Caenorhabditis elegans: one gene and its partner. The protein of the gene in region 2 purifies or fractionates together with the protein of the main gene of each other region. This does not show direct contact. Each region holds a gene or a part of one and is shown on either strand. Other genes may lie near its edges.

What was found.
Region 1: the proteins of ser-1 (region 2) and apg-1 purify together in Caenorhabditis elegans (affinity purification with western blotting, with the first as the bait; one study listed by BioGRID). This does not show direct contact.

What each region holds. Positions count from the first base shown.
Region 1 is NC_003279.8:14,404,080-14,409,310, forward strand, and holds the start of apg-1 (AP-1 complex subunit gamma), read left to right. Parts: upstream 1-1,948; 5' UTR 1,949-1,963; coding exon 1,964-2,025; intron 2,026-2,087; coding exon 2,088-2,292; intron 2,293-2,338; coding exon 2,339-2,463; intron 2,464-3,262; coding exon 3,263-3,959; intron 3,960-5,231. Other genes in the region: tcab-1 (WD_REPEATS_REGION domain-containing protein), read right to left, coding at 793-954, 1,003-1,159, 1,206-1,426, 1,475-1,570.
Region 2 is NC_003284.9:16,577,987-16,582,895, reverse strand, and holds the start of ser-1 (G-protein coupled receptors family 1 profile domain-containing protein), read right to left. Parts: upstream 3,152-4,909; coding exon 3,088-3,151; intron 971-3,087; coding exon 677-970; intron 1-676.

The DNA of each region.
Region 1 (5,231 bases), on a different chromosome or scaffold from region 2:
GCAAATATATTGAATTTTTTGTTTAATTTGGTGAAAATACGGGAAATTTTGACTTAAAAATCACTAAAAACGGTTGAAAATCGATTTTGGGTGAGGCTTAGACTACAAACTACAACTTTTTTAGCCTCAACCAGAATTGGTTGAGGCTCAGAAAATTGTAGTTTGTAGTCTAACTTTTATTGATTGTTTTTTATATAAATTTTAAGGGAAATTTTTTTAAAATGTTAAATTCTGAAACTTATCAAATTTGCAGAAAAACGACTATACTACAAACTACAAAATGGTTGAGGCTCAAAAAGTTGTAGTTTGTAGTCTCGAAATGAATTAATAGGCGAAGATTTTAATTTTTCGTGGTTTTTCGAGTTTTTGGCACAAATTTGATTAAAAAGCAGCTTTAATTTGAAAAAAAGTGAAACATTTCTTTTAGAGACTACAAACTACAACTTTTTCAGCCTCACCCAATATTGGTTGAGGCTCAGAAAATTGTAGTTTGTAGTCTGAGCCTCAATCAATGCATTTTTGTTTAAAAAATTAGCAATTTTCAGTTATTTTTAGAGGTTTTTGGCACAAATTTGATTAAAAAACAGATTTTAATTGAAAAAAAAGTGAAAAATTACTTTTAAAGACTACAAACTACAACTATTTTTAGCCTCACCCAATATTGGTTGGGGCTCAGAAAATTGTAGTTTGTAGTCTCTGAGCCTCAACCAATTTTTTTTGGATTTTTATGTAAAAATGTCAATTTTTAAGCATTTTTTTTTCGTTTTTTTTTTTGCAAAAAAAAAAACCAACCCCAGCATCTTTTCCATTATAAGCACCGAGAATACTTCCATTTTCCGTATCAAATAGCTGAATTGGACGCAGTTTTGACGACGAGAACACCCCTTTTCCAGAGTTTTCCCAACAAGAATCCAGCACCAAATTTCCCGTATTATGCTTCCATATCACTTCTGGCTGCAATTTTTAGCGTTATTTTACAGAAATTTTGGAAGAAAAACCGACAGTTTCATCTATTTTATACATTCTTATAAATCTATCCTGTGAAGCCACAAGAGCCCGGTTTCCCTGTTCATTTTGAATGGAAAAGTGCACAAAATTATTATTTTCCGTTGATTTATAGCCGAATTGAGCGTTGTACGAGTTGAAAGTGGCTTTATCGCTGAAAATTTCAGATTTTTTGACTTAAAATTCGAATTTTCAGATACCAAAATGTATTTTTAAGATTTGTGGGGATTTCGGCGATTTCTACAGGTTCTTGAGCTTTTTTCTTGACTTCTTGGTCAATTTCCTGCATTCTCTGGAGTTTTCGCTTCTCTTTTCGATTTAATGGGCGGTTTTCTGGGATTTCTTCGGGAATTTCTTCTGAAGCAGCAGCCTCTGTGGTCGATAGCTCATCGATTTTCGACGCAAGATGGTCACTGCGGAGCTAAAAAGCAAGCGGTTTTTCTTTGGAAAACAAGTGAAATTTAATTACCGAAGACAAAAGCGACGCTATCCCGCATCTTTCAGCGCGGAGAGACGGTTTTTTCTCCTCCAATTCTTGTGAGGACGACGATTCTTCGGTGTTCATCTGGAAAAAATCGATTTTTTTGGCGAAAAGTTCAAGTTTCAGTGATTTTTAATCGAAAAATTGAAAAAAGAAAAAAAACAAAAATTAAATTCCCCCTACTACGGTCTGCAATCGGGTACCTCCACACCAGACCTCACGCGCAATTGCGGACTCGCCCCCTGCGTTGGATTGTAAAATGCAAAAAATCAATAAAATTGCAGTGTTGTCACTGATTTTTCAGCTTTTTCTAGTGGATTTTCGTGATTTTTTGATTAAAAAATTCATTTTTTCACTAATAAGCGTCGTTTATTTCACTTATTCCACTTACTTTCACTGCTGAGCTGTAAAAAAAACTAAAAAACTCCAAAAAAAACGTCAAAAAATGAGGAATTTTTGCAGGGTGAGGCTCCAAGGATGGCGACGGCTGTCGAGCTAGCCATTGAGAAGATCGATGAGTATAAGTCGAAGATTGGAAGGTTTGTAACATTAAAAAACTCAAATTTTTGCGAAATTTCCCCAGTAAATTCTATTTTTTCAGAACTCTCGGCACTCCGATGCGGCTTCGAGACCTAATTCGGCAGGTCAGAGCGGCACGAACGATGGCTGAAGAGCGAGCAGTGGTGGATAGAGAAAGTGCGAATATTCGAGAAAGCTTCCGAGACGATGATTCTCCGTGGAAATGTAGAAATATCGCGAAATTGCTCTATATTCATATGCTCGGCTACCCAGCGCATTTTGGACAGGTTATTGAACCGTTTTTCGCCGGAAATTAAATTATTTGTTATTCAGATGGAGTGCATGAAACTGGTGGCTCACCCCCGATTCACTGACAAACGAATTGGGTATCTTGGAGCTATGCTTCTTCTCGATGAACGATCGGAAGTTCATATGCTCGTCACTAATTCGCTTAAAAAGTTAGCAAAAACCCATGAAAATGAAAAAATCTTGTTTAAAAGCTTTTTTTCTGCGATTTTTCTCATCAAAATTTGATTTTTTGAAGAAAAAGCAATTTTTAAAGGATTTTCAATGCAAAAATGAGATTTTACAGTAAAAAATGCTATAGAAAACAAAAAAATCCGAAGAATTATTATTTTGGTTGAGGCGTAGACTACAAACTACAACTTTTTTAGCCTCAACCAGCAGCTTTGGGGAGGCTGACAAAAGTTGTAGTTTGTAGCCTAAGCCTCAACCAAGATTTTTAACTTGATTTTGCTCATTTTTAGTGATTTTTCATCAATTTTTACTATTTTTCGAGCTAAAATTAGTGAATTTGGTTCTAAAAACTGGAATTTTTGCTTTAAAATTCACGATTTTGCTAGAAATCCAAATATAAAACGATTTCTTCCAACTTTGGTGAGGCTGACAGAAAGTTGTAGTTTGTAGTCTTAGCCTCAACTAATATTTTGCTCATTTTCAATGTTTTTCATCGAATTTTCACTATTTTTCGACGAAATAATAGAGAAATTGGTTGTAAAATCCGGAAATTGAGCAAAAAAGGTGAAAATTTTGCTAAAAATCCAAATTTTAAACGATTTGTTTTCCAATTTGGTGAGGCTGACAGAAGTTGTAGTTTGTAGCCTGAGCCTCAACTAATATTTTGCTCATTTTCAATGTTTTTCATCGAATTTTCACTATTTTTCGATACAATAAAAGCAAAAAATCCCAATTTCCGCGGAAAACTCTATTTTTTAAAACTAAATTCTTCATTTCCAGCGACCTCACCTGTTCCACCCAATTCGTCAGCGGACTAGCTCTCTGCACTCTGGGCTCAATTTGCTCAGCGGAAATGTGTCGAGACCTGGCCAACGAGGTTGAGAAGATCATCAAGCAGAACAATGCGTATTTAAAGAAAAAAGCGGCGCTCTGTGCGTTCCGTATCGTTCGAAAAGTGCCGGAGCTGATGGAAGTCTTCATTCCATGTACCCGATCGCTTCTGGGAGAGAAAAATCACGGAGTTTTGATGGGCGCAACGACTTTGGTCACAGAAATGTGCGAGAAATCTCCGGATGTCTTGAATCATTTTAAGAAATTGGTGCCGAATTTGGTACGGATTCTAAAGAATCTTCTAATGAGTGGATATTCGCCGGAACACGACGTCACCGGCATCTCTGACCCGTTCCTTCAGGTCAAAATTCTGAGATTATTGAGAGTTTTGGGGAAGGATGACGTACGTGTCACTGAAGAGATGAATGATATTCTGGCGCAAGTGGCAACGAATACGGAAACGGCGAAAAATGTCGGAAACGCGATTCTCTATGAGACTGTACTCACGATTATGGAGATTAAGAGCGAGAGTGGCCTGCGCATTTTGGCTGTGAACATTCTTGGACGATTCCTTTTGAATACGGATAAGAATATTCGATATGTGGCGTTGAATACGCTTCTGAAGACTGTTCATGTTGATTATCAGGTTGGATTTTGTGGAAAAAAAAAAAAGGAAAAAATGGCGATTTTGGCTCAAAAATTGAGGTTTTGGCGGTGGGTTGAGGCTGAAAAAGTGTGTAGTTTGTAGTGTGAGAGCCTCAACTAAATTTATTTCATTTTATTTCTGTTGTTAATTTTAATAGAATTTTTTAAAAAATTATTCTGATGAGTTTTCAAAATGAAAATCGCATGTTTTAGTAAAAATTGTCGAGAAAAACAAGTTTTTCAACGAATTTTCGAATTTTGTAGCTTGGTTGAGGCTCACACACTACAAACTACACTTTTTCTAGCCTCAACCAAATTTGGGGAGGCTGTGGAGTTGTAGTTTGTATTGTGAGCCTCACTCAATTTCAGTTCATTTTTTGTTTATTTTAACAGAATTTTGAAAATTCAGTTTTCAACATGAAAATCGCCTAAAACTTGTCCGGAAAACCAAGTTTTTTGACAAATTTGCAGCTTGGTTGAGGCTCACGCACTACAAACTACACTTTTTCTAGCCTCAACCAGATTTGATGAGGCTGTGGAGTTGTAGTTTGTAGTGTGAGCCTCAACCAAATTTATTTTTAGTTTTCTATTCCGTTTTCGACGTGAAACTTAGCTTTTTAGTAAAATTTTGCCTAAAAAATCAGTTTTTCAATAAATTATTCCATTTTGCAGCTCAAACTGTGTAAATAATAATTGGTTGAGGCTTACACTACAAACTACACTTTTTCTAGCCTCAACCAAGTTTTTAGAGGCTGTGGAGTTGTAGTTTGTAGTGGGAGCCTCATTCAATTTCATTTTTTTCCGTTTTGAACGTGAAACTTAGCTTTTTTAGTACAATTTTCCCCCCAAAAAAACCCAGTTTTTCATAAAATTTCATATTTTGCAGGCCAAACTGTCCAAGTGATAATTGGTTGAGGCTCACGCACTGCAAACTACACTTTTTCTAGCCTCAACCAAGTTTGGGGAGGCTGAAGAAATGTGTAGTTTGTAGTGTGAGCCTCAACCAATTTCAGTTCATTTTCTGTTTATTTTATTAAAATTTTTCCGTTTAATACAAAATTTTCAATTTTATGATGAGTTTTCCACATGGAAATCACCTAATTTAATGAAAATTGTCCGGAAAATCAAGTTTTTCAACGAATTTTTGAATTTTGTAGCTTGATTGAGGCTCACGCACTACAAACTACACTTTTTCTAGCCTCAACCAGATTTGATGAGGCTGTGGAGTTGTAGTTTGTAGTGTGAGCCTCACTCAATTTTTTATATTAAGAAT
Region 2 (4,909 bases):
ATTCTCATTTTTTATTCGTTCCTCTAATTATTTATTAACAAATGCGCTCAAAGATGCTTATAGTTAGATACTTTTGAAAAAAATTCATCGAAATTATTAGCTAATTGACAAAATACAGCGCTGGTGGTATTTGCACACCTGGAGAAGGGAAAAATAAAGTTGAAAAAAACAAACAATAGTTTAGTTTATAGCCTATTAATCATCTGATTCGTTTTCACAAATTGAAAAAGGTAAAAAATTAAGTAAAAAAGCATTTTGGGTTAAGTTTTTTTTATCAGCCTAAAATATTGCACTGTTCCCTATAACTTGCATGACAGCAAAAAAAATTAGGCTTTAAAGTTACCTACGCCTACCTTATACCTACACAATTCACCTCTGCCGAATGCATTTTAAATTGTCTTTCTTAGGTTATTTAAAAAGTCGCGTAACCTAAAAAATGTCGGCCATATAGTGTAGACACCAAATATTCAGTTTTAAGCCAAAATTAAGCCATAATTCAGTGGGACAGGTAGATCAAAATTATTTATGAGGTTTTTTCTTTTCTTTATTACAGTTTCAATTTTTGTAGAAACAATAATCCTATGTACATTTTCCAGTATAGGAACAGTATAGGAAGTATAGGAATTTTCTTTTCTAGCCCTAAATTAAAAAAATATTCCAAAAATATTCCACTGACCGTGCCGAACCTCGACCACTATACTCAATGGCATCACAATACAACAAACCAGAAGATCAGCCAGAGCCAATGAGAATAAAAAGTAGTTGGTGACATTGTGTAACCTTCGATCCGTCGCAATTGCCACACACACCAAAAAGTTGCCGATCAACCCAATCAGACAAAGCACCGGCAACAGAAACAAGGCGACACCGTTGAAATGGTAGATTCCCATCGTCGGGATCAACTGCACCCGTATCGACCATACGCTCGTTGTGGAGAAGTGCGGTGTGAGCGCCGTCGTTGCAAATGATTCTAGATGTTGAATTGTTGAAAAATTGGTTGATTGAATTGGGATGATGATGATGAATTTGTAATTGAATGAAAAAAAAATGCAGACGCACGCACAAAAGTAAATCAAAGTGAAGCCTTCGATGCGGCCTTCGCCTTTTCTAGATTAGATTAATCTAGAAAAGAGATGTATGTACGTGTTTCTTTTTCACTACCCCACGCAACAATTGGTTGCTCTCTGATAATAAAAAATGGGTGAGAAATTAGATGTTTCCGAATGTGTCGTTCGTTTTGAAATTGTTAAGGTACATCACAGGTCAGTGGAGAGAGGAGAAGGCTGGCCGGGGGGAGAAAAAGAGAGAGGAAAGCGAAAAAAGTATGACGAGCTGCCAATGATTTTTTGCTGGCGTTTTGGAAACTCCGCCCACTTTTTTGGTTCCAGTTTTCAAATTTCGAGTTAATGGTTCCAAAAAATACTAGCTTTAAAAAATTATTGAATTGAGTTTTTGCTATTTCGCAAAATGTTCTAGTCAAGATTTCCTGAACGTAAATAGACAACACTTTTTGCCCAGTTTTATAGATCCCAGCAATTAAAAATAAGATTTTTTGAATATAATTTTTCTTTAAAACACAATTTTATTGTTCTTTATAATTTTTACACCATCAAGAAATTTTTATAAAATGAACTCATCAAAAATTATGTCAATTTTAGGGAAACACAGGGACAGAAATTTTCAAAATTTTTGTGAAAATTACACAATTTCCAAAAAAAATATTGTTCCAAAAATATTTCTTCTCTGACGTGAATTGACATTTGTTCGTTAAACTCAGAATAAAAAACTAGTTCAACTTGCTACTAGAACTTGATTTTTCAAAATATTTTCACCTGGAATTTCAAAATTACAACCCCCACAAACAAATATTTTTGGCAACAGAAATTATTAAAGCATTATTGAAAATTTTTGTCATTCTTTCAGAAACAAAAACACAAAAATGCATGATTAAGGGTTTCGGGAGACGAATTTGCGATAAATTATAAATGAAGAATGTTGTTTGAAAATAATAGCAGAAATTAATTACTCAAAAACATTTGAGTTTCAATTTATGAAAGTATTAATCATCAAAAACCGGTCGCTTGATGAGTTGCCATTTTTGAACTCATATTAATGAATTTGCAACTCTTTTTTTAATCCGTTCGTAATCTTTTCCTTTTGGTTTTTGTAGCTGGATCAGTTTGAAAAAAAGGTCGGGCTATTCTGAGAGCTAGACTTTTTGACAAAATCCGTCGGGAAAAGGAAAAGGTTTCAAAAACTTTGATTCAAAAATGGGAAATAGAATTACGGAAAAGGTAGGGATCAGCTCAAAAATTTAAAAATAAAGCTTATATTTAGCTTTTTATTTATTTTGTAAACTTAAAATATTAGAATAAAAATTTTAAAGTAAAATTGGTTTCGAATGTTTTTAAATGACGTAATTTTACTAAAAATGTTCCGAAGACAAAATTAATAAGTTAAATTTAAACATTCGGATTTAAAATTGAATTGTGCTGCTCTTGTTTTGTTGGATAGGCGCCGACCAATCACCTTTATGACCCTGGTACAGTCTACTCATTGAGGATCAAATTTAACACGTACGACCTTTGACGTTTCTTATGGTATTGGCTGTGACGGCTAGAGATTTTCGGTTTTGATTTACTCAGCCTAGCGAGAGAAGCCATCAAACAAACAAAACCGTTTTTGCCCTTTCTTTAAGCGCCGCCACTGTCTATGTGGATATGTATTGGAAATGTGAGATCCTGTTGTTCAGATTTTTTTTTGGGAGTTTAGAGTTTTTGAGATCATGCTCCCCTTTTCACTGAATACCGAAAAAAAAATCTGGTGGGTGGCGACGAAACGGAGACGTAGACGTCAAAATTTTAGAGGAAGACGGTGATTGAATATGCACACACGTTAGGTATGCGCATAACTTTTTGAGTTTTTCCGCCCATTTTTCCCCACTGAATTCTTCACCCCCTTCCTCAAATTCTTTTGTTCTCTTGCAAGAAGCATCTATTCCTAGATTCCGACACAAACGAAAACATCATCATTGTCTATGGTTCATCCCCAAAAAAACGCATGAAAAGTTCAACTGATCAGACTTACCATTTGCAGGTACATAGTAGGGATCCTCAGGTGGAGCGCTGTGTGAGAAGAGTTCAATGAGCATCTAGGTTGAGAGGAGTGCACCTCTGAAACAAAAACCAAGCACTTTTCACGTATTTTCCAACAAATAAGTGCTAATTGCCAAGTCAGCAGGGAGACTGCGGAAAGGAGAAACAGAAGATGAAAAAAGAGGAGTCACAAAACGAAAAATGTGTGAAAACACAGGAAAAGAGGCTGCCTGCATAAGTAAGGGCCATTAGCGGCGCGGTGAGTGGTCAAAGTGCGTTATCATATGGTACGCGGGGCGCGCCTCACATGGGAGCCCCCGGGAGCCGAGCAGAAGAAAAGAAGGTCGCCGAGAGTTCCAACAGCTTTTTTATGAGTGCCGCGACCTACTGGCAAACAACACAACGTCAGAATGAGGGGAGAGCGGAGAGAAAGAGAGAACGTCACAGTGGTAAACGCTGTGTCGGGATTGAAGTGGGAGGTCTGTACTGGGATATCTTGTATCTTACTACATACGTACACCTCAATTGTCAGTTCTGGATTGCACAAAGTGCAAAGAACAGTTAAGCTGTTCGGTTGAAAGGTGTGGTGAGCTGGAGAGGCAGGTAAAAGTGACAAACAAAAGGAAACTGTATCACACCTGGGCGGCGGCTTAAGAAGAAAAAAATATGAGTTTAGCCAACAAGAGACTATGCCAGAGTAATAATAATGGTGAAAATTGGGGGTTTCATTGGAAATTAAAATACTTGTGAATCAATAAGAAATTTGTTAGCAATTTTGCGCTCCTAGGTGGCCGGAAAGTATTATAGTCAGAAGTTGACCGGCTTAGTTCGGGCCTTAGTTTAGTCCAAATTTGATCCAACCTTTGTAATGGGTTAGCCAAGCATTAAAATACAAGAATAGGGCTTTCATTTTGGCGCTATGCAACCCAAGTTTTTTGAACGGCGCGAAACTCAAAAATTGTCGGGCGCTGCAATTTTGCAAAACATAAGCTTTACCAACTTCTGAATTCAAGTAGCATTTTTGGGCTAGACGTAAGCAAGAAGTTGCCACCAAATGCTGAGTAAGACATACAAGAACGTGTTATCTGTGTAATTGAGAAGATAAGTGTATCTACAAATTTATAAATCTGACACAAAAAGAAAGCCATAGACTTTAAGAAATATAGGTATTTGTAACCACATTTTTTGAAAATTTTCATTTGGATAAAAAATTTTCAGAATTCCTAAGACACCGTCATTTTAGGGTTGTAATACAGAGTGTTAAGATTTTCAAAAAGGTAAAATTATATAATATTTGGCTTTAATATATTTTTTTGGTACGTGGGCGTTATAACCCTATTAAAACATTGAACATACATACATTTATCATTTTCTAAGGTGATATGCTTACTTTTTAGGATTAGAAATGTTTTTTTCCTTTTCGGAAACTTTACGCTAGACTTTCGGATTAATTGGTACTTCGATTATTTTTTTTTGTTTCAAATTTTCTGCCAACAAAAAAAAAATAAAAAAATTATATGCTTTCAAACTTTTCGAAAAATTAGTATACTTCAAATCTCAACACTATCGCTATTCTAACATATCCCTTGGAACGGCTCAACAAAGCTGTTTAGACACATTTCTTGGAAAGGGACGATTTTCTTCTCAAAAGTTTCTTTGAAGAAGGGTACTGAAGCAAATTCCCAAAACACTAAATCTGATCCATGGCTTTTGTCAACTTTTCAATAATTGCTGTTTGTATGTACTTGTTTATTTAAAAACAACATTAAGGATATTTATATATAGATGTTTGTAAATTTACATAGATCAAAATG